Linked DNA regions of Elephas maximus indicus. The protein of the gene in region 1 interacts with the protein of each later gene in a pairwise test. Links are inferred from orthologs where the notes say so. Each region holds a gene or a part of one and is shown on either strand. Other genes may lie near its edges.

Region 1 (15,439 bases):
GGTGTTCTTGACAGACCCTTTGTGCCTCAAGGGGCATGTTGTGGCAGGGGCCAGCAGCCCCTGGGGCCTGGTTCCAACTTGCGCTATGACCCTGAGCAAGCTCTTCCCCACCCTCTGGCCTCAGTTTTCCCATCTGTAACAGGAGGGGGGTGGGCTGGATGATCCCAGGGCCTTTCCAAACATTGGGTGGGACTTGATCCCTCTCTGGGCTGCACAGAAGCCCCCTATGCCACCCACCCCCCTCTCTCAGCTACTGCTCCAAGAATGAAGACCAGGGAATGAAGCATACATAGGGCAGGGCGGAAGGTGTGGCAGGGCCATGTTCAGGGCCTGCCCACACCCACTTGGAGGGGGGCTCTGTGTCATCCCTACCGCAGGAGCTTCCAGGCTGGGCTCTGGGCCAAGGGGCTGCTGGCTCATCTGGTCCAAACGCTGCTGGGCCTTTTCCACTTCCATTTGCAGTAGCAGGATCCTGGGGGCAGAGGGGGCTGTCTGCCCATCCTCTACCACTCTGCGCCTCCCCCATCTCCCAACCCCCTCACTTGTCTTCTATGTCCAAGTGTGGCTTCCTCCAGTCCTCCTGCCCCTGGGTTCCTCGCAGCTGGTGTCTCTCCTGCTCTAGGCGGGCCAGGAAGCATTCTGCCTGCTGGGGGAGGGCTGCAGGCAGCACCAAGCCCCTGGGGAGGGCTGGGCCAGTCCCCCCACCCCACCAGGCAAGGAGTGTCTGCGGCCTCTGATAAAGCAGGCAGAACCTACAGCCTCTGCCTGCTCCACCAGCTGAGATAAGCCCAGTCAGGGGTCCAGCTGACAGCCCAGGGGAGACCTGCACTCCATGGCTCGGAGAGCTACCCAGCTGTTATCACTATAGCTTCCAGATGTGCAGCCCTCTGCCTTCATCTGGGCCTGAGATGCATCACCTCTTGACCCCACCTGCTGATAGCTTCAGAGCTTAGGCCTGCAGAAGGACCAGGGACACTGTCATGTAATGCTAGAGAGGCATGAGAAGACAGTCAACTGGGTCCTGAGGGTCACCCCAGGCCTGGTAAGGAGCAGTGGTTCCACGAGGGTCGACTGTGGGCTAAGACATCTGAGTCATTAAAAGCTTGGGCTTCTAGGCCGTCAGGGGGCAGTCCAGTCCTTACCTCCACATGGGGCAGGGATGCTGGTAGCCTCCCCAAGAAGCCTCAGCTTGCAGAGCTCTCTCTCCTTCTGGGGATCACCTTTTCCACCAGGGGAGGCTGGACTTCTAAGGATGCTGTTCTGTCCACCGAGCTAAAACCAGACCCTCCCTACTCTCCCTCCATGGGCCACAAGCCCTCCCTTTGCCTCTAGCAGCATTCCCGGCCCTGCCCTGCATACCCCTCACAGGAAAGCGCTGCCCGTCTCCAGGCAGCGGCGCCAGGCACGGATACAACACTGTTCAACACAGCAACCCCGTTGGCACCTCTACTTCCCTCTCTCTCCTCTGGATGCTCCAGACCCTGACAGACCTTCCTGAGAACGCGGCACTGGTGAACACCAGCCCTGAGCGTTCTGGAGCTTTCAGGCTGGTAAGAGGACCTGGCTAGCCCAAGGGGCCTCCCTGGGGCCTCGGACAACAAGGAAGGTGGGAGGAAGAGGCTGGGAGCCTCACCTTCTGCTTCAGAGTCAGCAGCTCACACAGGGCCCGGCCTCGGTCCAGCTGGCATTCCCGCCTCTGCAGCACCCGGGCCTGCTCTGACAGGGCCTCCAGCGCTGCCCGCAGACGGCCGGCCAGCCCTGCCCGCTGCCACCTGCTCTCCGCAAGCCACACCCGCAGGTCCTTCTCTGACTGCCACTGGTCCCTCTCAGGGGCTCTGTCTGGGCACCTGCCAGGGAGAGAGGAGTCAGACTGCCAGCAGGGTACCAGAGGGCTGCCGTGCCTGCCATCCCCAGGCTCACCTGCACCCCTCGGTGGGGCTCCGTGGGCAGTCTTGGTCCAGTGGCCAGAGGTTACAGGAGTGCCGGGGACAGCATGTGGGGCCAGACATGAGATCCATGGGCTCTGCCTCAGTGGGCCCTGAGTACAGAACAGACTGGAGTCTAAAGCTGGAGCAGTCCCTTCCTCCTAGAACACCCACCTTTGAGCCCCCTCCTCAGATGCAGAAACTGAGTCCCTGGGGTGAGCATGCACTCAGCCCCACCCCCTTGGCCCAGGGTTCTCTCTGGTTATTCCAGTTTCAGATAAACCCCAGCCTCGGCACCACTAAACAGTTCTCAGTTCTAACAGTTCCCGTGTGCTGTGGGTGCTGACCGCCAGCCAGGCCACCTACTGAATAAACACCACCTCATTTCACACTCACGGGTACCCGGCTGGGGGCTGTGCCGCTGAAGCTCAGAGGGGGCATTCAGTTGCCCCTGGTCACTGCAGGGCAGGGAAGAACGGCCCAGTAAGCAAGGTAGGCACAGGATTACTTCTTCTTGCTTACTCATCTGTAGAGCACAATTTCACCTGTTCCTTACCGTGTTAAAGATGTTCTGAGACCCATATGAAACTGTGCACTACAGATGATAAGTAAACACAATTAAGCCCGTGCCTACCTTGCTTGCTGGTTAATCCGCCCCTGCTGCAGGGAGTCCCTGCAGAATGGGGATTCCCACCCAGCGCTGTCAGGCACTAGAGCGCACACTCACCCACCCTGCTGCCCTGCAGCGCTCCCCTTCCAGGTGTGTGAGTCTGGTGGGCAGTGGTTAGGAAACAGTAGGGGCCAGGGGAACATTTCAGGGCCAGCACAATTTAGCTAAAGGAGCCCTGGTGGCACAACGGTTAAGTGCTTGGCTGCTAAGAAAAAGGTATGGGGTTTGAACCCACCCAGCAGCTCTGCAGGAGAAAGACCTGGCGATCTGCTCCCGTAAAGATTCCAGCCTATGATTGCTCTGACAGAGATCACAATAGAGGGTCGCGGACAGAGCAGGAGAAAAAAAAGTAGAACAAAATTCAAATTCACAGAAAAAGACCAGGCTTATGAGTCTGACAGAGACTGGAGGAGCCCCTGACACTATGCCCTCCGGATACCCTGGTAACTCAGAATTGAAGCCACTCGTGAAGTCCACCTTTCAGGCAACGATTAGACAGGCCTTTAAAACAAATAATAACACAGGAGAGGAACGTGCTGTTTTAGTTCAATCAAGTATTCAAGACCAAATGGGCAACACCTACTCAAATGCAAAGACAAGAAGGCAGGAAGGGACAGGAAAACTGGAGGAATGGACATGGAGAACCCTGGGTGGAAAGGGAAAGGGGGACAGTGCTGACACATTGCAGGGGTTGCGACCAATATCACAAAACGGTTTGTGTATAAATTTTTGAGTGAAAAGCTAACTTGCACTGTAAACTTTCACCTAAAATACAATAAAATTAAAAAAAAAGATTACCCACCCACTGCCATCGCAGCCTAGAAAACCCAACGGGGCAGTTCTACTCTGTCACGTGGGGTAGCTATGAGTAGAAGTCAACTCAATGGCACCTAACGACAACAACAACATAGTTTAGCTGTGATGTGGGGGTCAGAAGCCCCCAAACTCCTTGCTCTGATACCTCTTCAGTTTCCATAACTGCAGCTGTAACACAGGGGCCCTGACACCCATTCCCCACCAGCTTGTGGTAACTCATGAGGCAGACAAGGACTACTCGGTGGGTATTATCCCCTCACACTCCTCCTATCCCCACTCTTCTTACCTCCAGGGCCTCAGAGTCCTACCACTGTCTCCTTCCTCCCAAGCCTGAGCGCCAGGTACCCAGGCCCAGGCTCCGTGATGGCATGGAGGGTGTGTGGCCCAGTCCTGGAAGGCTGTCTCCACCTGAGGAGAAAGAAGAACTAGGCTGAACCTCCCCTCCCCTCGCCCTGATGTGCCCATTCCTCATATACCCAGACCTGCTCCCACCTCAGGATGGCACTGCCATCCACCAGGCCCTCTCGCCTCTAGACACCTTGACTACTCTCCCCTCCCTCCAGGCCCAGGTCCCTGCAGCCCAGGAAATGGGAACCTGACTCTCCTAGGGGCTCCCAGGAAGGTTTTCCAGGGGAGGTAACCCTGGGGCTGAGGCTTGAAGGTGAATTAACTACCCCTAGAGAAGAGAAAAATGGATGTGGCAGACAGAGGAGAGAGCATGAGCAGCAGGACAAGAGGGGGATCAGAACAGCTGGGGCCTGGAGGGGCAGTAAGCTGAGTCTGCGTTGAGGGTGGCCAAGTGAAAAACCAAGAGGGGCAAGGCTGGCCCTAAAGAGGAACTGTGGGGCCAAGTGGCTAGGAGCCGGGCACAGGGCGGAGGCAAGACCTCGGTGCTCTTGAGTCATGCTTTGGACCTCAACAGAAAGGACCTGGTGCGGGCAGGGGCGGGCGACTGGGAAAAGAGCTTGGGTCTTCAGGGCAGGGCTGTGGAGCAAACCTCTGGAGTTGGTCCACCCCCTGAGCTCCCGGGCCAGGGGTTACCAGGGACTTATTGCCAGGCAGCACGGGAGTATGAGAGTGGTGCAAGGGCAGTTCCACATACATCACATCAGGGTAGATCTTTTTCCAAGTGCCTATTTGGTGCCCTGGTGGCACAGTGGTTAAAATGATGGACTGCTAACCGAAAGATCAGTGGTTAGAAACCACCAGCAGCTCCACGGGAGAAAGTTGTGGCAGTCTGCTTCCTTAGAGATTTACAGCCTCGGAAGCCCTGTGGGGTGGCTGTGAATCGGAATCCGCTCAGTTGCAGTGGGTTGGTTGGTAGGTTATTTGATACCCTGTTTCACATTCTGCTCAGGTGTGAGTTCTTTTAGGAAGAAAGAGACAAAAGAAAGAAGACTTACTGGTAGAATCTCAAGCCCAATGGCTGCCTGACTCCAGATTTTGGAGAGTTAAGGAGCTGGGAGATGGCTCCTATTTCTCTTCAGAAAAAGAGAGAGCTGCTTCCTCACTGGGAGGTAGGGACTCCTGGTTTCCTGGGGGTAGAGGGCTTGGGGGAAGATGGGCCTAACTTACCTCCTCAGAGCCTGGTGCCCAGAGCAGAGCTGGGGACAGGAGCCTCTCTGAGGGCCTTGGCGCCTCTCAGCTGCCCGCCACAATCCTGGCTCCAAGGAGCCATGGAAACCGCGGGCAACACTAGGTGGTGGGAGGAGGAGCCACCAGAGCCCTCCCACCTCGTATGAGTGGATGAAACCCCTAGGAAGAAACCTGGTTGGTGTGTCCACGGCCTAGACCAACGAAGCATTGAAGCATTTGGAGCCCGGGCATAGGGGTGGGTAGGGGTTGTGGCACCTCAGGTGCCTGCCATTTTTTAACCCCCTGGCCCCTGAGGCAAGATCCTGAGGGGGCGAGATCTGAGGGCGGCAATAGCCAGGTTCTGGGTCACCCACTGCACACTTGAAGTGGCTCTAGAATTTCTATATTGGGGGCAGCATTTGATTGGCAGGAGGACTCGGGCATGGTCTTGAGGGGGCATTAGCGTAGCAAGCACCCAAGTTTTAGGTAGCTTCTGTGTTTATTTTGGGTGGGAGTGGTGGAGGAAACCGAGATTTGGGGGATGTAAGCATCCCTCAAGCCACGTCGTAAGACTCCAGTTTAAGGGGGCGCCAGAAGCGAAGTACTATAGGGGGAATGGTCGCCTCTGACCAGGCAGCCGGGGCTTGGAGACCGCGCCCCCAAGTCAGGGGCGTGGCCAGTTCTCATTGGGGAGGGGGCGGGAACTGGGCGGGGCCGGGGAAGAGAGGCAGGCGGGCGGCCCGCCTCCGCCCTGCCCCGTGAGGTGTTGGAGAAACCCAGGCCGCCCATTGGTGGATGGCAAGAGCTGGCTGTCCAGGGGAGGGGGCGGTGCCTGGGGAGATGCCCAGCCCCGCTCACTCCGGCCGGGAGAGGCTGCGGGTTTCCAGCGCTCGCTTGGCTTGGGGGCAATTAGGGGCCGCTCCCGCTCGTTTAGCTGCGCGACGCCCGGGAGAGCCCGGGGGCGGGGACGCCACTCCCGGATCGGGCGGGGCGTGCGCGCCACAAAATGTGAGGTCTCCCAAAGGGCCCCGGACCTCAGTTTCCTCATTTGGGAAATGAGGCTTCGTAATCCCGCTCTAGACAGATAGGAGGGAGGCGTTATGGTGATGCCATGCTCGGGGGCCCTGCATGGCGCGAGGCTTTTGTTTGGCTGGGGCTTACTGAGAAACAATGCTGGCCGCACTAAGACGCTCTAAAGGTACTCAAGGGGGAAGAAGACCCCCTGCCACCTGACCCCGACCCCTCCAAGATGCCCCACCATTGTGGCTCTCGGGTATATTCCCAAAAACTGTTTTGGATAAACACACAAACACACATTTCATTTGCTTTTTTCACACAACCGTTGTCACCACCGCCTTCGTGAGCCTCTGGGCCCAGGTCTCCGCCGTCTTTAGTTCCCTCTTGGGCCCCGTGGCCAGGTGGACCGCAGTAACCCCCGTTTTCACTGTCGTAACAGGGAAACAACGACCGTCCCCTCCGCGCACAGAAAAGGGGTTGGCGGACACGGGCGAAGCTCCGCCTTTCGGCTCCGAGCACCCCCGCCGGGCATGGAGAGGCTCGGGGACCAGGCACCTGTCAGGTCTGGAGGGTTTACGTGCGTCGAGACACGACAGGGGGCGGGGCGAGCCGCCGCCGCCGCCGGAGCCACCCCTCGGCCCTCCCGGAGCTAGTCTCGACTACTCTGCGGCACCGACCGGAGCGTGGAAGGCCAGTCCCCCAGAGCCTTCGAGTCAGGGGCTAGAGCGTCCCGGCCACCGAGCCGAGCCGACCCGGGGCTGGCGACGCCTGCGTCACCCGGGGGGCGGGGACGCCACGGGCGGAGGCCGGAGCCGGAAGCGGAAGAGGTGCTCGGAGCGGGGAGTGGGGCCTAGCCGCAGCCGGAGCCTGGGAGACGGTGAGTGTGGGCCTCGGCCCGCGACGACGGCTGCGGGAGGTGAGTCGGGCGGGGCGGCCTCGCCGGGTGCGGGTTTCGGGTGTCCCGGTTTGGGCTCGGTCCGCGCCCTTTCTCTTCCTTTACCAACCTCAGGCCGCAGCCCCGACCCCTCACCCCTGACCCGCTGCTTGTCGCCCCGAGGGCGAGCACGGCGGACCTCGAGCTCTCGATCCCGTGGTGTCGGAGTGGGAGCCAGAGCAGCCTCTGAGGCCCCCTCTGTCAGCCCCTGCAGGGACCCAGTTTCGGCACTGCGCCTGCCCGAGGAATGGGGTCGGGGTCCGACCTGGGATAGCCTGGAGACTCCTTCAGACTCCTTGGCTCGAGCCTTGGTCCGTAGGTCCCTCCTCCCCGCGTGGCCTGGAGTTGGATTCTGGCTCACACCGACCTGCCCCCACCACCTGGGTCCCTCCTCCGCCATTGACGGTGGTTCGGGGGGCACGGGGCTCCTAGATACCCAAGACCTGGGGCGCCCGAAGGGACCCGAGCGAAGGCCGCAGGCGCCTGTGTGTGTTTTGTTGTGATGATGGAGCCGCTCCAGCCCCGGGGGAGGGGCCCGGCCAAGCTGACAGCCCAAATGCCCGGCTGCTCCTCAGCCCGGTAGCCTCTGTGCTTTTAGTTCCGGGTGCGAGTGCCCTGGTGTGGAGCCGGTGTGGGAATTGCCCGAGCCAGGCCCCGGTCGAGGCGGAGTTGGCGGGCTTCCAGCTTCCCTCCTCCGTGCCCTTGAAAAGGAGGAGCGTTTCACCCCGTTGTGGCGGCTTGCGAGGTGGCAAGCTTGAGGTTGCAGTGGCGGGGCAGTGCCAGCCAAAAATAACCGTGGGGCGCTGGGGTGGCAGGGCTCCGGGAGGGCAGTCGCTGACCCGGCTGGCTGCACTTCTTGTCAGCCCAGTTCTCTGGCCAGGAACAGCAAATGAGAAGCCGACTAGGCCTGTGCTCCGAGGAGAAGAGCTGGCATCCTCGGCCTGGTTTCCTTCACATTACCTTTTTTTTTTTCCCATTGTGTAGAGCAGAGCCTCCTAAAGCATGATCGTGACCTTAGCTTCCTAAAATAACCTGTTTGCTGGGGTCTCAGTGGATCTGAGGCAATGGATGAGAAATGGGCTCTTGTGCTGTTGGTGGGAGGCTGAGGAGGGGGTCTGGTAGGTCCAGTAGCTCACCTGCCTAAAATGCGGTAAAGGAGAGATGATTTCTCCTATTAGTCTTGCCTTGCGTGTAGTACTTTATAGCTCTCATGCTTGTCATCTCCTTTGCCAAGTTGGCTGGGAGGTAGTGTTATCTCTACTTTCCAGGTATGGTAGCCGAGGCCTAGAGTGACTTGTATAAATTCACGAGGACAGTAAGTGACAGCACTGAGAATTAGGTCAGGGTTTTCTGCCCAGAACTGTCTTCCCCCAGGTTCCCAGGAAGGGACTTATAAAGTGTTCTTAGTGCTCTTAAGGCATTTAACAGAGGTCCAAGTTGTTACCCGGAATGTTTTTCATTTTGTTAATGAAAAGTTGCCTGTAGTACCACTTGTGGGCCCAGGCCTATGCTAGGCAGTTGGTTTAGAGGAGACACATTAAATCCTCACAAACACTTGTAAGAGATTGTTATCCTGTTATTGCAAGAGGAAGCTGAAGGATAGAGCAGTTGAGTAACTCGCCCAAAGGCACACAGCTAGAAGTGGCAGTGCCAGGCTTCAGACTGACATCTGTCTGCCTCTGAAGCCTGGGCTCTTTCCACTAACATGAAGTGTGTGGACATGTGTATCTTCCAGGTCCTGGGAGGGAGGCTTTGGCCTGGTGTGGACTAGACCAAGTCCTCCTGATGCTTTGTCTCCTAAGCAAGGAGGGCCCATGCCAGGCCACTGGAGCTTTCATTCCACAGCTTGGGCACCTGCCCCAGGGTAATGGCAGGAAAACAGTGAAACATTAGTCACCTAATCAACAAAACAGAACAGCAATCCAGGTCTTAGGGATCTGTCAGTGATTTTCTGTATGTTTATCTCCAAGGATTGCTGAGGGCTGGGCCAGTACCACTTCCTGGACTTCCCAGATAGAGAGGGGACATCAGCTACTGGGGAAATGGAGGGCAGTGACTTTGTCAGGATCACCGAGGAGCTCCCAGGAGTTTGGTCAGATTGGCCTCTTTGCCCTGCTTACCCCAGGGGGAGCCATTCCATGCTGCTCTCCTCTTGACAGACCTTTCTGCCTTGATGGTGCAGCCTCAGTGGGTTTGTCCGAAATGTGCTGGTCAGGTGAGCCCAGGACTGACCATGACCAGAGGCTGGCTGTGGCCAAGTGAAGGATTGGCCTAGCCTTCCCATGGAGGCAGCATCAGGGTTTTGGATGTAGGTGGAAATGGGGGCTGGCCTCACATAGCCACTTTTCTCAGCTGGTACTGGTCCAGCCTGGCGATTTCCCGTGGCGGATATAAGTCTTTGCTTAACAGGGAGAGTGGGGTGGGGCCCTTTGGCCTGCCTGCCTGTGCAGGCAGCCAACCCCTCTGCTCTTCCTGAGATGGGAACAGGAGCCAGTACTGGAGCAGGGGAAAGAGAAAAGGGGACAGCAAAGGTGATGTTGGAGAGAGGTGAGGCACTGCCCAGCATGGCACTGCAGGTGGTCTGAAGGGTGCTAAGTGGGCCTCTGGCAAGAAACTTGGGTGCTCGGAGGACCCTGGCATCCCAAGGGATACTGAGACCAAGTGATGACCAGTAAGGGCTGGTCAGACTCTGGGGTAAGCTGGGGAATATTTGTGAGACCCTGTATGCCTCTTTTTCCGAGGGCTTGTCCTCTCATCTGTGGCTCCTCACATTGACTTGCGATCCTTACTCCCTTGAGTAGGGTCCACTTCAGGGCCTCAGCCAGGAGACTTTAGGCTGAAGGTGTTTCCCCGCTTGCGCCCATGTTGTTGGCTTCATGCCAACAGCCCTTTGACTCTGGCCTCTGGCTTTACAGCATGGTCACTTCATAGGACCACCCAGTAAGTAGGGGACTAAGCCCAGTAGGCTCCTCTTTCTCCCTGGCCTTGGTGACCATACTCACCATTCCCTCCTGCCTTCCTGCCTCAGCACCTGGTCCCAGCTCACCCATTTCCCCAAGTGCTCAGGCCACTAGGCCAGTGATGCTCTGCTGGGGAGGCAGCTATTAGTTCGCTGGCAGAGAGGGTGTTACCCATTGTCTGTTGTTCGGCCAGTATGACCTCAGAGTTCTTCTTCACTTCATAAAACCCTGGGAGGGGCTGCCCCCAAACAGAATAATGGGCCTCCTCTTTAGGCACGTCTGGGCTGCCCCGGCAGCCCTGTGGCTGGAGGTGGCTGGCTGCATGTTGAGTAGGGCACTTTCTCTCGTGGCCTAGATGCATCACTGTAAGCGATACCGCTCCCCTGAGCCAGACCCGTACCTGAGCTACCGATGGAAGAGGAGGAGGTCTTACAGTCGGGAGCACGAAGGGAGACTGCGCTACCTGTCCCGAAGGGAGCCTCCGCCTCGCAGGTCTCGGTCCAGAAGGTGAGAGGGAACTGGGTAGGCAGGAAGGACTCCTGCCCTTGGCTGGGCTAGTGAGATGGTTTTGGGGCTTGGGGCAGTCTCACATCTCCTCGAAATGGCTGCCATCTCTGCCTGCTGCTCCTAGGACCCACCCTGTCCTCTTGGGGGACCTCCCCAAATCTCACCTGCATTCCCTGGCCTTTGCGTTAGCTGCAAGCCTTGCCTCCCCTTCATCCTCTGTCCCTGAGTGCCCCTTCCTCTTCTTCCTTCTCCCAGAACATTCCCCATTTTTCCAGGATGGCAGTGCAGGTCTGTGGCTCCTCCTCTACTAACCTCCTGAGCCTTCCTCGGTGGGGATTGGGGGGACCCCAGCCCTTTCTAGCGGTTGGTCCCTGGTCGTATCTTAGCCTCAGGCCAAGGTTAAAGTCTCCAGAAGGCCACAGGGAGCCTGAGTGTCTGAGCCCTCAGAGGCCCTCCACCTGCTCCCCTTCCCCACTGCTCTGCCTCCTGGGGCACTGGAGGGGTGCCTATCTTTAGCCAAGGTTCTGGAGGACAGGTGGGCTCAGCACCTTCACACCTTCCCTCCCTTGCTCTCTTCCCGCCAGTCTGGGTGTCTGTGAGCTCTTTGAGGGTCTACACAGGCTTCTTGCCTGGTAGCAGGGACCTGGCTGGTGGGAGGAAGGACCCTGCTGACCAGTCTCCCCCACCCTTCTTGGCAGCCATGACCGCCTGCCCTACCAGAGGAGATACCGGGAGCGCCGAGACAGCGACACGTACCGTTGTGAAGAGCGGAGCCCATCCTTTGGCGAGGACTGCTACGGATCATCACGTTCACACCATCGTCGGCGGTCACGGGAGAGGGAGCCATATCGAACCCGCAAGCACGCCCACCACTGCCACAAACGCCGCACCAGGTCTTGTAGCAGCGCCTCCTCGGTGAGTGGTGGCCAGAGTGTGCTGGCTGGGCCTTCCAGGCCTCATCTCTTTCTAGCCTTCTCTCAGGCTGGTTGGTCGTGGTGAGTACTGCCAGCTGGGCACACACACTGGTGTGCGTGCATGTGTGTGTGTATGTGTTGTCTGGTCCAGGTACAGAGCTGAGCTGGGTGGCCCGGCCCCTCTGCCTTCTTGCCCCCTTGGCAACGGCAACTATAGGGGCCCTGATTCCGGCGCTGGCTGGCTCCCAGCTTTTCTGTGTCTCCAGGCTGCTCCAGACACCAACCGCATGGCACCGGTGGCCAGGGAGCCTTCTTGGGGAGCCTTCTTGGGGATCCAGTAGGGTTGCCGCTATGTGGTCTATATGGTCTGGTCCTTCCCTCCCAGAGGTTGCCCCAGTAGCTGAGAGCTTTGACTGGTGTGGCCGGCACCCACCTTCCAGTCCCATCTCCACACACCCTCCCCCGAGGCTGGAGAGGATTTGCCCGTCAGCCCGGTGCAGATTGGGAGCTTTCCTGCTGACTTCCAGCCAGGCCTTCTGCAGTCTCGCCTCTTCATGTGAGGGGCAGTCCAGGCGAGGGGTGGGAGCTGTCTGTGTGCTGGGGTATGTGAAGAATGGCAGAAAGCCTTCAGCCCCAGGCAGCCCCAAAGGCAGAGCCTGGCCGGTGTTCCTGGTGTGGAGGATCGTGTAGACCCTACACTGCACCCAGGCCCCCAGGAAAGAAAAGCCAGTTGTGTATCTCTGAGGCTATGTGCTGCCTTCTCTTCTCCTCCCGCCCCCCTCCCCACCCTCCTGCCGGCCATGAGGCCCCTGAGGGGTAGGGGCAGGGTCAGTGGAGGGGTCCAGCTTCTTCTCTGCCCAGTTCTCCCTGTGACTTCTCTGAGCGGCCATGGCAAGTTGAGGGGAGACTGGGTGAGCCCAGCACGGCCTGGTGGCCTCTTGGCACACTGTCACAGGATGGCAGTGCAGGTCAGTGGCTCCACTGCTTCTCTTTTTGGTGCCCTCTGTCGTTGTGAGGCTTGGGATGGGCCTGGCCTGTGGGCGGCACGGTGCCAAGGCCAGGGCAGGAGCTGGCTTGGGGCCTGTGTGGCCGTGGTGGAAGGAGGCCTGCAGGCCGACTGGCCCAGAGGACCGGCCCCTTCCCTGCTCGAGGCTGGTGGCAGGAGGGCTGCTGGCAGGCCGTTTCTGGTAGTGGTGCTCAAGTCTGGCCAAGGATGCCGTCTGGGGACAGGTAGCAGTTTGGCTCTGAATGGCAGCTATCGGGCATGTGCAAGGCCGTGTGGACAGTAAGCAGGCAAGGACAGGCTGGGCATTTCGCAGGAAAACCGAGATGGCCCTCTCACCAGTCCGACGGTCAGACCCAGGCAGGGCTGGCTGCCTTCTTGCGCCGTTCTCTCTGCGTCTTCAGCTCTGGCCGAAGCCACCACGAAGCCCCCACGGGAGGGCCTGGGAGGGGGAGACTCGCTGGAGGAGGGCGTCAGGGATGTGGCTCTCTTCATGGCCTGGCCCCTCAGCCGCAGAGGCTGGTCGTCTTTCCGAGCGTTTGCGGCGCCCCTCCTTGTAGATAATGTCCGAGTTTTCTTTACATACCTGTAGCTGTTTTTACTTTTCTGTTTTTGAAGTCAGTTTGTGTCTTGACGTGTCCCTTGCAATATCCCTATCGTTATATATGCTGTGTGCCTTATGAAATGCTGGCATCTGGAAAATCCAACCAACCAACCCACCGGCTCCTCACCGTCTCCACCTCTGCCTTTGACTGACACCTCAATCTGTCAATCGGAACCGCCTACCATGCGATTGGTCGGATGGCGTTTCGGGGGGCGGTGCATGCAGAGAAGCCAACAGAGCAGTAAGCGCAGCAGCCGGAGTGTGGAAGATGACAAGGAGGGCCACCTGGTGTGCCGGATCGGCGATTGGCTCCAAGAGCGATGTACAGCCACCTTTCGTAAAACTTTACCTCTCTACTTTCTACCCCCCTTGTTAGACGAGACCTCTCCTGCCTGGAGGGGCCTCTAGTGCGCGTGGCGCCTTAGCGGGGCCACCAGTAATTGCCTGAATGACACAGACACTAGCAACTTCTGTTTTTAAGAGTGTGGCAGTGAGAGAAGCCTTTTTTGTTTTTGAGAATTTGAATGCTGTGAACTTACAGGAGCTGCCGGCCCTTTGCCTTGCAGACCCTCACGCCCTGTTTCTTCTTTCTCCTAGATGAGATCGTGGGGAACCTGGGCGAAGGTACCTTTGGCAAGGTGGTGGAGTGCTTGGACCATGCCAGGTGAGGGCACCGGGGCAGCCCCAACCAGCTCTGGAGGTGACTGCCTGGGAAGAGCCTGTTTGGGAGGCTTGTGGGTTGTGGTTATCTGAGCCTTTTTCTTTCTGAAGGGTAGCACCAAAGCAGGGTCTGACCTGTACATGTTGGTGTTCTGCGGACCCCCTGAGAAATTCTTGGGGGTCTGCAGGCATGCCCAAGAATTGCTGGGCAGTGACTAGTTCTGCCCTGATTTCCCCTTCCCAGGGCTGTGGTGGTGGTTCTCAGGGCAGGGCCATGTGGCCTGGCACCTGCTCCCTGGGATCTCTTGGAAGGTCTTGGCCTGGCAGGGGACTGGGAGTGCTACTACCCTACCCTACCCTGGGCATCTGCCTGAGGGGCCGTGCCAGGTCCCTGTTGGGAGAAACAAGACTGGGATGTTCTCCCAAGTAGGCAGCTGCCTGCTGCAGTGTGGCAAGGGTGAAGTGGGGTCTTCACCGAGCATGCTCAAAGAGAGCTGTGCTATCCCGTGTGTGTTGAGGGCACACTCTCTGTTCCATGCTTAAGAGCAAAACACTTTCCTCAAGATAGGAGCTTCCTGCCTTGCTGCCTTCCTCCCCTAGCTCTGGGCAGGGGAGCACTGTGTGTAGAGTAGGGGCATTGCCTCCGTGCCTTCCTGGCCCTCTGATTGGTTTGGCACTTCAGCTACAAGCTTATGTGTTCTTTATCTCATTGACCCACTCGCTGTCCGTGGGTGACCTTCCCACGATCTTAGAGGTGAAGAAGCACGTTCAGGGTTTGCCACCTTTCCCACAGCTAGTGAGTAGTGGAGGCGAACTCGCAGTTCCACAGTGCATCCACAGTAGGGGTGCTCAGAACGGACCGTTAGACCCAGGAGCCCAGCCATCCCTGTGGCCCCAAGATGAGGTAGTGGCAGTGACTGAGGAACCTGCCCTTTGCTCCCAGTCCCATTTAAACATCCCTCAGGCCCAGTATGGCTCAGGAGGGCCGGACTGGGACCAGTGAGTGTAGGGACTACACCGTGCCCAGAGCACGTGACCACATAGACATGTGGCAGCACCAAGAGCTGTGACTCGTGAGGGCAGCTAAGCTCTCCATACTGTGCCACTCTAAAGAGCTGGAGGGGAAAATAAGCCTCAGAAGCCACCAAGGGGCAGCGCAGGGGTAGGGAACCTTTGGGACCCAAAGGGAGAGTCAGGAGCAGTGGGGATTATTGTGAGGAAGCAGAGTGCCACTCAGCCAAAGCAAGGGCCTTATCCTCCGACTCACCTAGCCCTGGCAGGGGCTCCCTTTGGAAGTGATGAGCTCCCTGACCTAAGGACTGACATGCCACAGAGGAATTCTGTTCCAGGTGGAGCCTGGAGTGAGTGGCCTTTCCTCTGAGGTCCTTCCCTGCCCTGACAATCTGTAATTCTGGGGAAATGAGGCAGGGAAAGAAGAGAACAGGGTATTCTCCAGAGGATGCCTCTGCCCTGGGGCCTGGGAGCCTTTGCCTGGGCACCAAGGCCCAGCCTGCCTAACCTCCCTGAGGCCCCAGAAGATGCACCCTTGTGAGCTGGTGCTGCTCTCACTCGTTTTCGAACCACGGCCATCCCTTCCTGATGGGGCCTGGCAGCTGAACCTCAGCAGGATGCCTTCTCTGCTGACATCCTGGAAATGGCCTCTGGTGGCTGGGTTTGGGGCAGGAAGTGCAGAGCAGGAATTATTGAGATCCTCAGTAGATGCTTAGCCAGGGTGCCTGGCACCAAGTGGTAACTGGTAAATGCTTGTGGTGGGAGGCAGGCAGGTGAGTAGGCACGGAAAGGGTTGTGGTAGAGGGAGTGGTCCTGGGCCTTAGGGAGAAGACCCCATTTCTG
Region 2 (15,439 bases), on another chromosome or scaffold:
AATTACACCTCTAAGGTTGGTGCTGGCTGTTGACACACACGTTTCCAAGAACTTGGGACAGCAGAGACCTGACCTGCCAAGTCACCCAGCAGAGAGGGGCCTGGCTTGTGCATCATGAGCCTTGGTTCTCCTCCTGGGTGGACAAGGTGTCTGGTTCCAGCTCTCTGCCTTCCAACTCCATTACGTGGACTCTGTTATGGATTGAATTGTGTCTCCAGAAAATGTGTGTCAACTTGACTAGGCCATGATTCCCAGTATTGTGTGATTGTCTGCCATTTTGTCATCTGACGTGATTTTCCTATGTGTTGTAAATTCTACCTCTATGATGTTAATGAGACAGGACTCAGTCTACAAGATGAGGTTGTATTTTGAGTCAATCTCTTTGAGATATGAAAGAGAGAAGCAAGCAGAGAGACAGGGGACCTCATTACTACCAAGCAAGAAGAGCCAGGAACACTGACCTAGGGTCCTGAGCTGAGAAGCTCTTAGACCAAGGAAAGATTGATGACAAGAACCTTCTGCCGGAACCAACAGAGAAAGCCTTCCCCTAGAGCTGGTGCCCTGAATCTGGACTTCTAGCCTCCTAAATTGTGAGATAATAAACTTCTGTTTGTTAAAGCGATCCCCTTGTGGTATTTCTGTTACAGCAGCACTAGATAACTAAGACAATACACACATGAGTATTTCTCTGGAGCCAGACAAGGCAGTACTAACATTCTTATAGAAGAATACACATGCAAGAATACCTAAGAAAATGAAAAAAGAAGAGCTCTCAGGGGAGACTAGCTCTACCAGATATTAAAACATACTATAAAGCCTCTATGATTTAAACAGCATGGTACCGGAACATAAACAGGCCAGTGGAATTGGACAACTATTACTAACACTCTGGAAGAAAGTAACAAAAAGTGTAATCAATCAGCAATTGAAAGCTAAGTGTGATAACTGTTACCAAACACAGTAAAAGGGAAGTTATACATATTCATTGGATTTCTAGGAAATAACGCATTTTCAAAAAAGGGGTTGGGACAGTCTTTTGGCAAGAAGTGGCTGATGGACCTCTCGCTTCTGAAATGGGTCTGAATACTACAGATGATGGAAATCTGGTGATTTTAGTTCCTTGGCGTGAGTCTTTTGGTTCCTAGGCAGGACTCACTATGGAACGGGGACATCCAGCCATCAACCGAATCATTTCTTTGCCTGCTCAGGATTCTGGTTTTAGTTGGTTTGCCTGAAAAGTAATCCTAAAAGGAAGTGTTAGGGGAAATCTGGTTACTTATCATTTAGAATTTAGCCTCAGGTTGAGATACTGGTTTCCTCGAGTCAGGCCTAGCCGTATCTTGTTTGCTTTGGAATATTTTTTTACAGCCTCTGTTGACAAGAGCAGCGGAAACCCTGGTGGCATAGTGGTTAAGTGCTGTGGCTGCTAACCAAGAGGTCGGCAGTTCGAATCCGCCAGACGCTCCTTGGAAACTCTATCGGGCAGTCCTTCTCTGTCCTATAGGGTCACTATGAGTCAGAACCAACTCGACGGCAGTGGATTTTGGTTGACAAGAGGGTTAATTTTACCTCAGGACTCCATACTTGTCTCAAAACCAGCAGGCCTCCTTGGTAACATATGAAGAAGCCCTCATCTGCAGCCAGGAGACAAAAGTGAAGACCAAGTCTAGGATTTTAAAGAAAACTTTTAATTAAAAAAAATTTTTTTTTACTGATACGACTTTTTTCTTGAGATATAATTCACATACCATAAAATTCACCATTTCCAAGGGCATAATCCAGTGGTTTTTAGTATATTCACAAGGTTCAATAATAACACCCATACAATCTATGGAGAGAAAGATATGGCCAATGTGGTCAAGTGTTCCGGGTGAAGGATATTAGGGAGTTTATTTGCACTTTTTCTCAACATTTCAAGTTCTTTCAAAATAAAATGTTTAAAAAATAATAATGAAGGATGGGTTTTGGAATCAGGCATCATGAAGGGAGAACCTAGCTTGTTAGCAGCTTGCTACCTGTGTGACAGGCAAATCTCTCAATGTCCCAGAGCCTCCATATTTTCCTCCGGAAAGTGGCCTTCTGCCCCCAGCCCAGTCTACCTGTCAATATTGCAGTAAAAGGTAAGCTAATGAGCAGGGCAGGGCCCTTTGCCTACCACACTCAGGGATTTTTACCTGCCACTGGGAACCCTGGTGGTGTAGTGTTTAAGAGCTGCAGCTGCTAACCAAAAGGTCGGCAGTTAGAATCCACCAGTGCTCCTCGGAAACTCTATGGGGCAGTTCTACTCTGTCCTATAGGGTTGCTATGAATCAGAATTAATGGCAAAGGTTTTTTTTATATTACATACTAATTACATACTATAGAGGAGCCCTGGTGGCATAGTGGTTAAGCACTCTGCAGTTAACCAAAAGGTCAGCAGTTCGAACCCACCAGCCATTCTGCAGGAGAAAGATGTGGCAGTCTGCTTCTACAAAGATTTACAGCCTATGTGGGGACCATGGTCTCAGGGAACATCTAGCTCAGTTGGCATAATACAATTTATAAAGAAAATGTTCTACATTCTACTTCGGTGAGTAGTGTCTGGGGCCTTAAAAGCTTGTGAGTGGCCATCTAAGATACTCCACTAATCTCACCCTGTCGAGCAAGGGAGAATGAAGAAAACCAAAGGCACAAGAGAAAGATTAGTCTGAAGGACTAATGGACCACAACTCTGTCTCCGTCTCAATGCTGTTTGCCTCCTTTCTGTGTGTGTGTGTGTGTGTGTGTGTGTGTGTGTGTGTGTGTACGTTTCAAGGATTGGACCCAACGTTCATCAGATTACCCAAGACATCCATGACTCCAGAAAGGTTTTATTTTTTGAACAATTCCTGCATGTACAATTCAGTGACATTGATGACATTCTTCAAATTGTGCAACCATTCTTATGATCCCAAATGGGTTTTGAACTCCTAGGTTAAGAGGTTATCCCTTTTCAAGGGCCAGTGGTGCTCGTATTCACCAGGATATGTATAAGATTGTACATGGCAACACTGCTACTAATAAACCAAAAATTGAAGTAATCAAAATACCCATCAAGAAGCTCTGGTGGCAGTGGCTAAAGTGCCTGGCTGCTAACCGAAAGGTCAGCAGTTCGAATCCACCAGCTGCTACCACAGAAGAAAGATGTGGCAGTCTGCTTTCATAACGATTACAGCTTGGAAACCCTATGTGGCAGTTCTACTCTAGCCTATGGGGCCTCTGTGAGTTGGAACCGACTCAACAGTAATGGGCTTGGAAACCCTATGTGGCAGTTCTACTCTATCCTATAGGGCCTCTATGAGTTGGAATCAACAGTAACAGGCTTGGGTTTTTTTGTTTTTTTTTAAGTATCCATCTATAGTGGAACAGGTAAATCCATTCTGGCAAATTCATAAGGTGGAATACTATACTGCAGTGAAAAGCAATGAACTACAGCCTCATGCAAAAATGTATATGAATCTCTCAAGCATAACAGTATGTGAAAGAAGCAAGACACAAAACCATCATAATGATTCCTATTGCTGCCTCATGTTATACCTGATGAACCCGGCTGAACCATGAACCATGGTATATCTCACCCTTTTAAACTGTTGAGGGCCAAACTCTTTAAACCATTCTGCTATGAGTAGTGTTGGAAAGATCCACAAGATCTGGGGTCTTAAAAGCTTGTGAGCAGCCATCTAAGATACTCCACTGGTCCCAGCTCGTCTGGAGCAAGGGAAAATGAAGAAGGGGGCCGGAGCACCTGTGTGCCCAGTCCTTCTTGCACGCGTGTGTGTATATGTACATAATGTATACACATGTATATACATGCACACACAGACAGAGCCTCATCTGTACTTGCCCCACCCAGCAATAGGGAAAAACAGAAGTTTCCAAGGGAAACAGAAACCACTTTGGCCGCCAGAAACGAAACTCACAGAGGGCCCCTAGGGGCTGCCTCTGTCCAGCATAAAAAGTTAACACCAAACCAAACCAAACCCACGGCCATTCAGTGGATTTCAGCTCATAGCGATGCTACAGGACAGGGTAGACCTGCCCCATAGGGTTTCCTGGGCTGTAAATCTTTTTTTTATAAATCATAGCCTCCACCAGACTGAGTCCAGCATGACTAGATGGGGCCTGACTACCACCAGTGACTGCTCTGACAGGGATCACAATAGAGGGTCCCAGATAGAGCTGGAGAAAAATGTAGAATAAAACTCTAACTCATAAAAAAAAAAAGACCAGACTTAACTGGCCTGACAGAGACTGGAGAAACCCCAAGAGTATGGCCCCCAGACACCCTTTTAGCTCAGTAATGAAGTCACTCCTGAGGATCACCCTTCATTCAAAGATTAGACAGGCCCATAAAACGGGACAAAAGGAGCACACCAGCCCAGGAGCAAGGAGTAGAAGGCAGCAGGGGACAGGAAAACAGGTAATAGGGAACCCAAGTTCAAGGAAGGACATGTCGTGGGGTTGGTAACCAGTGTTACAAAGTAATATGTGTACTAATTGTTTAATGAGAAGCTAGTTTGTGAACTTTCATCTACAATACAATAACAAGAAAGAAAGAAAAAATGATGGGAAAGCAATAAAAATTGTAATTTCTAAGTAAAAAAAAAAAAAGATTTACAGACCAGGAAACCCTATGGGGCAGGTCTACCCTGTCCTGTAGCGTCGCTATGAGCTGAAATCCACTGAATGGCGGTGGGTTTGGTTTGGTTTGGTGTTAACTTTTTATGCTGGACAGAGGCAGCCCCTAGGAGCCCTCTGTGAGTTTCGTTTCTGGCGGCCAAATTGGTTTCTGTTTCCCTTGGAAACTTCTGTTTTCCCCTATTGCTGGGTGGGGCAAGTACAGGTGAGGCTCTGTCTGTGTGTGCATGTGTATACATGTGTATACATTATGTACATATACACACATGCGTGCAAGAAGGACTGGGCACACAGGTGCTCCAGCCCCCTGACCCACTCTAGGACCTGTGTTTGCCAAGTGGCCGGCCTGAGCCCTGAGTCTGGCCTGGTGCCTACTTACTGTGTGTCCCTGGGCAATTCAGGCGCCACTCTGGATCTCTTTCTCCTCTCTGCTCTCACTGAGTCTGAGTTCCCAGGCCACTGGAATCAGGGAGGAAGAGAAAGAGCTTCAAAGAAACACCTCTGTCAGGGCAGTTGGTGGCAGTAGCCAAGCACCATCTAGTTGTGCTGGGCTCAGTCTGGTGGAGGCTGTGGCAGTATGTAAAATTTTATTTACTTACAAACACTTGTATGGCATTTATCATGTGCCAGCTCCTGCTAAACACTCTCTAGGTATTATTTAATCCTCATATTAACCCTACAAGAGGTACCACTGTCATCCCTATTCAACTGCAATCGAGGCACAAAGACGGCAGGTGATTTGTTTAAGGGCACAAGTCTAGCAAGTAGCAGGCACTCACAATTGGGCTCTGGAGACTATGTGCTGAACAGCCAGGGGGCAGGGGGGCGGAGCAGAGCCTCTGGGCAGGGGCAGCCCCACCGCCACCACCGGAAAAGCTCTCTGAGTTTCAGTTTCCTGGCTCCAGGGCTCGGGAGCTTACTCCTTCTCTGCCTCCTGCACTGCTCTTCACTCCGGCACCGCACCGGCACCAGTAGTAGCCAGCAGGGAGCCCCAGCAGCCAGCAGGGAGCCCCAGCAGCCAGCAGGGAGCCCCAGCAGCCGGCAGGGAGCTATGGGAAGCTGGTGGTCACAACAGAACTCCATTCCTGCTGAGAACCTGGAAATGTATATCCAGCTCTTTCTACAGCCCCAGGGAGACTGTCAGAAGCTGATCGACCATGCCGTGAACACCATCTGCGCAGTCTTGCAGGATGCCAAAGACTTCCCCCTGGTAAAGGATGTGGCCAAAGTGAGTCCAGGGCTAGGGTCAGGGTTTCGGGGAGCCAGGAGAGTCCACGGTCCCAGGGTCACATGCTAAGTACCTACTCTGCCCCAGGTTCTGGGCTAGACGTCGTTTTGTCTTCCCCACACCGGGGTGAGACGGAGGAGTATGCTGTAGTGGTTAGGAGCCAGCTCTGCCCCTTACCAGGTGTGTGACCCTGGGCAGGTATCTCTTATAGGGTTCACCTTCACCTCTCTGTGCCTCAGTTTTCAAATCTATAAAACGGGGAGAGGAATAATACCCACCTCAGAGTGTTGTGAGGCTTAGGAATATAAAGTTCTTGGCACAGAGCCCAGCACATAGTTACCAAAAAAACCCACGTGGTAGCGTAGCACATAGTTAAAAAAAATTAGCACTCAACAAATAAGCTGGGATTACTCGCTATTATTATTTCTATTTTCTATTATTATTTTTACCCTTATTATAGAGGGATAGACTGAGGCTCGAGGACCTCGGTAAAATCACACGAGGTTGCTCTGTGGTTTCACAACAGTGGGGGAGTGGGTAGAGGGAGGCTCCCTTCAGCTGGAAATGTTCGATGTTGTGGGAGGCAGGGGCGATGGGAAGGTGCCAGGTCACTAGGGCAGGAGGAGGGCTCTGAGGGTCCCCTCCATCACCATTCTCTTTAGCCCTGGCCTGCCACTTCTCTGCTGTTATGCGCTTCTCGGCTCCTCCCTCTGTTGTTGTTGGTGATGGTTGCTGTCGAGTTGGCAACTCACGACAGCCTTATGTATAATAGAACAAAACATTGCCTGGTCCTGCGCCATCTTCATAATCATTGCTATGTTTCAGTTCATTGTTTCAGCCCTTGTGTCCATCCATCTCATTGAGCATTTCCTTCATTTCCATTGGCCCTCTACTTTACCAAACACGATGCCCTTTTCCAGCAATTGGTCTTTCCTGACGACATGCCCAAAGTAAGCAAACCAAAGTCTCGCCATCCTCTAGGGAACGTTCTGATTGTATTTTGTCTAAGGCTGATCTGCTCATTCTTCTGGCAGTCCACAATATAGTCGATATTCTTCACCAACACCACAGTTCAAACGCATCAATTCTTGTCCAGTCTTTCTTTTTCACTATCCAACATTCACACACATATGAGACAATTGAAGAGACCACGGCTTGGGTCACGTGCATCGTAGTCATCAAAGTGACATCTTCACTTTTAAAAATTTTAAAGAGTTCTTTTGCAGCAGATTTGCCCAATGCAATACGTTGTTTGATTTTTTTGATTGGTGCTTCCATGGATGTTGATTGTTGATCCACCTTTACACACCCACTAAGCTCAACAGAAAAGAAACCTGGACACCTGGTGTCACCTGGTGCTACCTAGCCCAGGTGAGGAAACAGAGACACAGAGAAGTTAAGTGAGTGCAGTTACGTAACAGCTGGGGTCAGAGCTGGGGTTTAAATCCAGGCAATCTGCTGAGAGCCTCCATGCTGAGCCACTCTGCTATCCTGCCTCTCAAAATTAACATTTAAAAAAAAGTAAAATATGCAAAAAGAAAAGGGCAGAGATCTAAGTGCATAGCTTAACAGGCTTTCACAAACAGCATACCTGTGTAACCCACATCCAGATTGAGAAACAAAACACCCAGCCCCCCAGGATCTTCGGACACCCTCTAGCCAGTCTCTACCTCTACTCCAGGGCAACCTACTCCTAGGACTTCTAACAGAACAGCCGGGTTTGCCTGTTTTTTGAACTTGGTGTAAATGTAGGGTGGTTTGCCCATTGCTAAAACTGTGTCATGGATTGAATAGTTTACCCCCAAAATGTGTCAACTTGGCTAGGCCATGATTCCCAGTATTATGTGGTTGTCCGCCATTCTGTGATCTGATGTGATTTTCCTACATGTTGTAAATCTTAATCCCTGCCTGTGGTTAATGAGGCAAGATTGGGTTATGTTAAAGAGGCTTAGGGTGGAATTCACAGCCCTGCTCCTGTGTAAGGGGAGTTACCCTGGGTTGTGGCCTGCATCACCTTTTACCTTACAAGAGATAAAAGGAAAGAGAAGCAAGGAGAGAGATAGGAACTTCCTACCACCAAGAAAAGAGAGCCGGGAGTGGAGCGTGTCCTTTGCACCCTGGGCTCCTGTGCTGAGAAGCTCCTAGACTCAGGGGAAGATTGATGACAAAGACTTTCCCCCAGAGCTGACAGAAAAATCCTTCCCCTAGATCTGGTTCCCTGAATTCAGACTTCTAGCCTCCTAGACTGTGAGAGAGGGCTAAGCCCCTCCCTCCCCTTTTGGTATTTCTGTTATAGCAGCACTAGATAACTAAGACAAACTGGGAATGTTTCTGGCAAACCAGGACTGACTGGCCACCCTACGTAAATGGCATCGGGCACTTTGTGCACTTGGTATGTGGTTTCCTTGACCCACAGGGGTTCTGAGGTTCATGTTGCTGTGTGCAGTTGTTGTTTATCACTGTCATTGTTGTATAGTATTCTGCTTTGTGAATCTACCACATCTGACCATTCTATTGTTAATGGAATTTGAGTTGACCCCAGTTTTTGGCCAGTATGAAAAATGCTGCTGTGAACAGCCTGACTCAGGCCTCATGGTGAACAAACAAATGTCTGCTTCACAGCTTTAAGACCATGGTGACTTTTTTGGCTTTTGCTCGCTGTTGAGAAATACCACTGTCTGCTGGATGCCCAGTGGGTCTAGAACTTCACATCCGCTTCCCTGTCGCCGGCAGGGTGGCTCCTATGGCCGGGAAACTGTCCTCAGAGGCACATCCGATGGTACTCTCGTCATCTACCTCAGTGAATTCAAACAATTTTTGGATCAGAAGACAAGCGAACGTGAAATAATCCTCAAAGAAATCTGGAAGCGCCTAGAAGCCTCACAGCACTTAAAGGAAATGGCAGCCAAGTTGGAGGTCCAGCAGTCCCAAGGCCAGCTCATACTCTGGCTGTCCACAAAGGGGCAAAGCATCATCTTTGAGGTACTGCCTGCCTTCAACGCCCTGGGTGAGTATTCCTGGGTCAGTGTGCAGGGCGGGTCTGCGGGGGCATGTTGGAGGATCAAAGCCAAAAAATGGGGTGTCAGACAGCAACGTGGGTCCTCTAGGCTAAGGATGGGATGTCTAGGCCAGCTAGCATCACTAATGCTTTCCAAAATGGCAGGCTATACTCTGGGCCTCCTCTCTTCTCTGGAACTTCTTCCCCCATCTCCTAGTTGATTTTGGAGCAAATGTTCTAGACTTTATTGTCTAGAGCAGGGGTTCTCAAACTGTAACGTGTGCATAAATCACCTGTGAACCTTGCTGAAATGCAGATTCTGATTCAGGAGATTTGAGGCGAGGCCCCAGGATTCTGTATTTCTAATCATATCTGGGATGAATTATGGTTTTGGCAAAGAATATTGAATATACCATGGACTGCCAGAGGAGCAAACAAACCTGTCTTGGTAGCGGTACAGCCAGAATGCTTCCTGGAATCAGGGAGGGCTAGGCTTTGTCTCATATGCTTCGGATGTGTTATCAGGAGGGGCCAGTCCCTAGAGAAGGACATCATGCTTGGTAAAGTAAAGGGCCAACAAAAGAGCTGAAGACCCTCAAAGAGATGGATTGACACAGTGGCTGTAACAATGGGCTCAAATACAGCAACGGTTGTGAGGATGGTGCAGGACTGGGCAGTGTTTCATTCTGTTGTACACAGAATCGCTATGAGTCAGAGCCAACTTGACAGCACCTAACAACAACAACTGGGATGATGCTGAGGCTACTGGTCTGCAGACCACACTTTGAGGGTTTAGACTACAAAAAAAAAAATTTTTTTTTTTTTTTTTTTTTAGACTACAGTCAGTGTTAATTAGAGGAGGAGGATGGGGCAAGCACCTGGAAAAGTCCAGCTGGGATAGGCATTTGGAATCTGCCTTCCTACAAGGTCAACATCAAGGCAACGACCTTCCATGGACAATTGTCTACCAGGGCTTGAGGGGCACCTCAAACATAAGCCATATCTCCCCAAGACTTGTCTACTTCCTGTGTCCCATGTCAGCAAATGTCCCCACAGTTCTGCCTGTTGCCCAAGCCCAGTTTACATCTCTGACTCCCTCACTCCTCACCCACAGCCCACCACTAAGCCTTGCCAGTTCTGCCTAACTAGTCCCTATATCCACTGCTACTTCCCTAGTCGAGGCCACCATCTGGGCTAGCCTGGATATGGCAATGGCCTCCTAATCACTTCCCTGCCTTCTGTCTCACTCCCTACAGCAGCCAGGTGTCACCCTTTCTACATTAAACCCTCTTCTGGCTTTTCTTTGCACTTAGGATCAGGGCCAAGCTCCTCAGCAGGACTGACAAAACTTTAATGATCTAGTGGTCCCGCTTACTTACCTCTTCAGCCCTACTAACTACCACCAGCTCACTCTCTGCCCCAGCCACTCTGAACTTCATTAAGTTCCTCAAGCCCCCATGCTCACTCAACTTGAGATTTGGTCCATGCTGTTCTTTGCCAAGAACATTTTTCCCCTGGCCCTTTATTTTCTGATCGCTCCAAATTTAACTTCCCTGGATCCCCAAGTCTGGGTTAGATCCACCTTCTATGTGCTCCAAAGCAACTTATGCTTTCTCTATCATGGAATTTATCACCAATATTGAAATGATTTGTTTAGTTTTCCCCTCTGCTAGACTATAAGCTCTGAAAGAACAGGTACCATGATGGTCTTGTTATTTTCCTGTCTGTGGTACAATGTTCATGCTGAATAATAGTGAATGGATGAATGGATGGATGAGTGAATAGATGATTGGATGGAGGGATGGATGGATGGATATTTGGATGGGTGTTTAGGTGGCTAGACAGATGATTGATTGGAGGGATAGATGGATAAGATTCAGTATAGTTATAGCTTAGTCTCAATCACAGGTACACATATAATCACAGACTTAAAGAATGCCAGAGCTGGGATCCAGTCCCTCATTAGACAAATGGTGAAACCAAAGGAAAGAAAAGTGCCAGGCCACACAGCTGGTTACCGACAGAACTAGGATAAAAGCCCAGGCTTTCTATGCTCCAAGCCAGGGTGCCTTCCATCCTCCATAATTTCATGGTGTTTCCAGGTTACACAAAATCTTGAAGAACAATTAATCCAATGATCAACTGATAAAGTGGAGACAACCACACCCAACCCCCTGATGACTCACGTTCACAAAAAAGAAGCCTGGTGCAGAGCCAAGTGCGTCCATTTGGGAGGAGGCAGTGCTGTGTTCTTATCCTGGCCTACTATTTACTCACTTTTGCCAACTGCAAGATCAGGCTAGAAACACCTAACTTGCAAGGCTGTTGAGACGCTAAGGTTGTCAGCAAATACCTGTCTCAAATAATGAAAAAAGGGGTATTCCAAATTAATAAGGGAAGGATGCTTTCTTTAAACAAGGATGTTGGTCAATTCGCTCTCATCTGGAAGAAAATCACATTTATTATCACATACAATATATTTCTGCCCTTGACTCCATCCAGTGAATGTTTTATTTCAGAGTCTAGGGTACCGGGACTTTGAGGAGGCAGACAAGGTGAAGGCAGGGTCATGGAGGTCAGGTTCAGAGCTGTGGATGGACCCAGGCCAGAGCGCCGTCTGCTTTCACCTCATCGTGCAAGGACAGCGTGAGAGCCAGAAATAAGCTCTTCTTTCCAGGTAGTGGAAACCTTGGTGGTGTAGTGGTTAAGAGCTGTGGCTACTAACCAAAAGGTCAGCAGTTCAAATCCACCAGGCGCTCCTTGGAAACTCTATGGGGCAGTTCTACTCTGTCCTATAGGGTCACTATGAGTCTGAATAGACTCGAAGGCAATGTTTTTTTTTTTTTTTTTTCCAGGTAGTATTCCAGAAGCCACCACCAGGTAGTGATAAAGCAGTACATTCCCTGTTCTAGAAGGAAAAAATAATGATTGCTTTTGGAGAAAAGTGACCTACAGGGACATTTATAAATTGCTTTCTTTACCAAATATTAGCTAACAAATCTGACCTGGAATCCCTGGGTAGTGGAAACTGTTAACACACTCAGCTGCTAACGTAAAGGTTGGAGGTTCGAGCCCACCCAGAGGTGCCTCACAACAAAGGCCTGGCTATCTACTTCTGAAAAACCAGCCATTGAAAACTCTATGGAGCACAGTTCTACACTGACAAACATGGAGTCATGGAGTCGCCATGAATTGGAATCAACTCCACACAACTGGTTTTTTAACCTCACATAATTTTTTTTTTTTTTTAATTTTTGCACTAGGTCCAGTCAGGCTTCCTTCAATTCTATGCCTCTTTCCATAGCTCCATGCCCCCCATCTTTCCATATCTCTCGCATCAACCTCCCACCCAATCCCCAACCCCCACTTTTGCCCCAGGGCCTTTGACCCAAAGTAGAACACTTACTTACTTCCTTGTGTTTCAGTTTCCTCCTATGACAATCACACTGACCACTTAAGAGTTTTATGAAACCCTTGTAGAGTTCATAGTACATAAAGGGCTGAAACTGTGCCTGGCCTAACAGTAAGCGCTCAATAAATGTTAGCTTTATTATTTTTTTTTTTATCATTATTGAAGACAGAAGGCTCTTTCCCTCAACCTCCCTGCATGCCAAGTGTGCAGAACCATGCCTGGCACAGAGTAGGGGGTCAGTTTCATGTTTGCTTCAAGCCTGGGATATTGACATCTCCCTCACTGCATTTGTTTGTTTCTTGACCCCACACCAGTGGTTCTCAAACTTCAATGGTTTTCAGAATCACCCGGGGAACTTAGTTAAAAAAAAAAAAATACAGAAGCCAGGCTGTCTCCCAACTGTGTATCAGAACCCCCCACCCTCACCCCACCGTGTACGAATCTGAAGCATACAGGCCCAGAATTATGGTCGTGGGAAGATCCTGGGCATCTGTGTTCCAGATGAGCTCCGCAGGGGGTTCCAACGTGCACCCCAGTTTGAGAACCACTGTCATGCACCACCCTACCTCACAGGGTTTAGCCCTGAGACAACTCAGCTGTCCCATTGGCCTCGGTTCCCAGACTTCTAAGGCCCTGGCTTCCTTTTCCTGCCTCCTCCAAGAACCTGTACCCTACCAAAAACCAAACCAAACCCACTGCTGTCAAGTCAATTCCTACTCATAGTGACCCTATAGGACAGACTAGAACTACCTCATAGGGCTTCCAAGACCGTAAATCTTTACGGAAGCAGACTGCCACATCTTTCTCCCGCAGAGCAGCTGCTAAGTTCAAATTGTGAAGCTTTTTGGTCAGCAGCGGAGCTCTTTAATCGTTGTACCACCAGGGCTCCTTCCCTGTATCCCAGACTTCCTGAAATAAAACAGTCACTGGATGGACTCAATAAACCAAACCAAACCCACTACCGTTGAGTCAACTCCGACTCATAGCGAATATATCACAGCTCTGGGTTTGGGTGGGTGGCACAGTGGCTAAGAGCTGTGGCTGCTAATTAAAAGGCTGGCAGTTCAAATGTACCAGCTGCTCCTTGGATATCCTACTACTCTGTCCTGTAGGATCACTATGAGTCGAAGTCAACTCGATGGCAATGGGTTTTTCAGGTACATGATATATAAACATTATTTTCTTCCAGATGAAAAGCCAACTTGACCAACATCATTTTTTAAAGAAAGAATCCTTTCCTTACTGAATACCCGCTTTTTCACTTATAATTGTGTGTCTTGTCCCTCTCTTTGGTTCTGCTGATTGCCTTAAGACCAATACCATGCTGTTTTTATTATAGTCATTTTAGAATGCATTTTATTATTGAGTAGGGCAAACCACTCCTCGCCATTATCCTTTACGTAAATATGAATCCTCTTAAGAGATTAATTTTTTAAGAGATTAAGCAATTGACCTGTGCTATCAGAATTTTTTTTTTTTTTATGGAAATATGACTGACCTTCTCTGTTGAGCAGTCCTGCTCTGAGGCCACATAATTACCAAAACGCCCATGTTTCTCTTTCCCACCAGGCTTTAGTAAGAAGCCCAGCCCCGAGATCTATCGAGAACTCAAAAGAGTCTCAGATGCGACAGCAGCTTCTCCCGGTGAGTTCTCAACCTGCTTCATGAAGCTCCAGCAGAAGTTTTTTAACGACCGTCCCAGAAAACTGAAGGATTTGATCCTCTTGGTAAAGTACTGGTATCAACAGGTAATTTTCAAATGTTGCCTATTGTTAGCATTCATTTCCTTTTCGTTGAGATAATTTACAGTTAATAAAGTACAACAATCTTAAGTGTACAGCTCAATGCATTTTTTACCTTCAGAAGGCTTCCTTGAGTCCAGTCAATGCTTCCCAAAAGCAAACCATTATTCTAACATTTGTCACCATAGATTAAACTTGTTTTTAAACTTGATATAAATGGAATTATACTATGTGTACTTTATGTCAGCCTTCTTCTGCTCAACATTATGTCTGAGAGATTTGTCCACGTTGTTGCGAGTATCGGTAGTTTTCCATTGTTTCGTAGTATTTCTTTGCATTAATATACCACACATTTATCCATTAGACTATTGATGGACATTTGGGTTGTTTCCAAGGTGGGGCTGTTATGAATTAGGTTATTATATTCTCCTACATGTCTCTTGGTGAGTTTAAGCAGTTATTTCTCTTGGGTAAATATGTAGGAGTGGAATTGCTGGGTTATAATATACCTGTATATGTGTGTATACATGTGTATGAATATGTATGTGTATATATGCATATGGTGTATGTATGTATAGGGAATATATATATCTATATTTAGCTTTAGTAAATACTGCCAGTTTTCCAAAATACTTGCACAAAATCACATCCCATCAGCAATGTATGAGTGTTCCGGTTGCTCTATTTCCTTGTCAACACTTGGTATTGTCAGTCCATTTAACTTTAGGCATTCTGGTAGGCGATAGTGGCTTCTTATAGACTTCTGGTTTCTTGACTTCAGACACTTGACATGGGAGTCCTGGGTCCCCAAATTTGCTGCCCTCTTCTTCTCCCACAGTGCCGAAAAGAGCTGGAGAAGTCAACCCAGCTGCCTGTATATGCTCTGGAGCTGCTTACGGTTTATGCCTGGGAACAGGGGTGTGGACAACACAACTTTGATATAGCTGAAGGCATCAGAACTGTTCTGGGGCTGATCAAGCAGTATAAGCATTTGTGTGTCTACTGGACAGCCTACTACAACTTTGAGGACGAGACCATCAGGAACATCCTGCAGTCCCAGCTCCGGGCGTCGAGGTACCAAGCTCCCCATAGCCCTCTCCCTCTATACGTTTATCTGTGGACTGGGCTGTGCCACTTTAGAATGAGGTCTCAGCCCTGTCCTGACCTGGCAATGGTGTGTCAAATAATGTCAGCAGCACTGGGTGGGGAGGCAAAGAGAGGTCTGTCTGAAAGCAGGGACGCCTGACCAACACTTTTTACAATTCCCAACTTAAGTCACATTTTATATCAAAATTAGACCCTAGGAGTCCCTGGGAGGCACAAATCATTAAGCACTGGGCTACTAACCTAGAGGTTGGTGGTTCTAACCCACCCAGAGGTGCCCCAGAAGAAAGGCTTGGCAA

The links.
Region 2: the proteins of CLK3 (region 1) and OAS2 interact in binary tests that used the Homo sapiens proteins (3 or more experiments, as listed by UniProt). The two-hybrid records come from large-scale screens. The link is inferred for Elephas maximus indicus from reciprocal best matches to the Homo sapiens genes CLK3 and OAS2.

Annotation. Positions count from the first base shown.
Region 1 is NC_064831.1:64,683,828-64,699,266, forward strand, and holds the start of CLK3 (dual specificity protein kinase CLK3), read left to right. Parts: upstream 1-6,792; 5' UTR 6,793-6,880; exon of another isoform or gene 6,881-6,919; intron 6,920-7,202; exon of another isoform or gene 7,203-7,282; intron 7,283-10,252; coding exon 10,253-10,404; intron 10,405-11,102; coding exon 11,103-11,319; intron 11,320-13,150; coding exon 13,151-13,247; intron 13,248-13,522; coding exon 13,523-13,589; intron 13,590-15,439. Other genes in the region: ciliary rootlet coiled-coil protein 2, read right to left, coding at 373-472, 543-646, 1,634-1,847, 1,921-2,038, 2,322-2,451. UniProt on the Homo sapiens protein: Dual specificity kinase acting on both serine/threonine and tyrosine-containing substrates. Phosphorylates serine- and arginine-rich (SR) proteins of the spliceosomal complex.
Region 2 is NC_064840.1:11,167,397-11,182,835, forward strand, and holds the start of OAS2 (2'-5'-oligoadenylate synthase 2), read left to right. Parts: upstream 1-5,556; 5' UTR 5,557-5,707; coding exon 5,708-5,884; intron 5,885-8,617; coding exon 8,618-8,891; intron 8,892-13,863; coding exon 13,864-14,042; intron 14,043-14,874; coding exon 14,875-15,110; intron 15,111-15,439.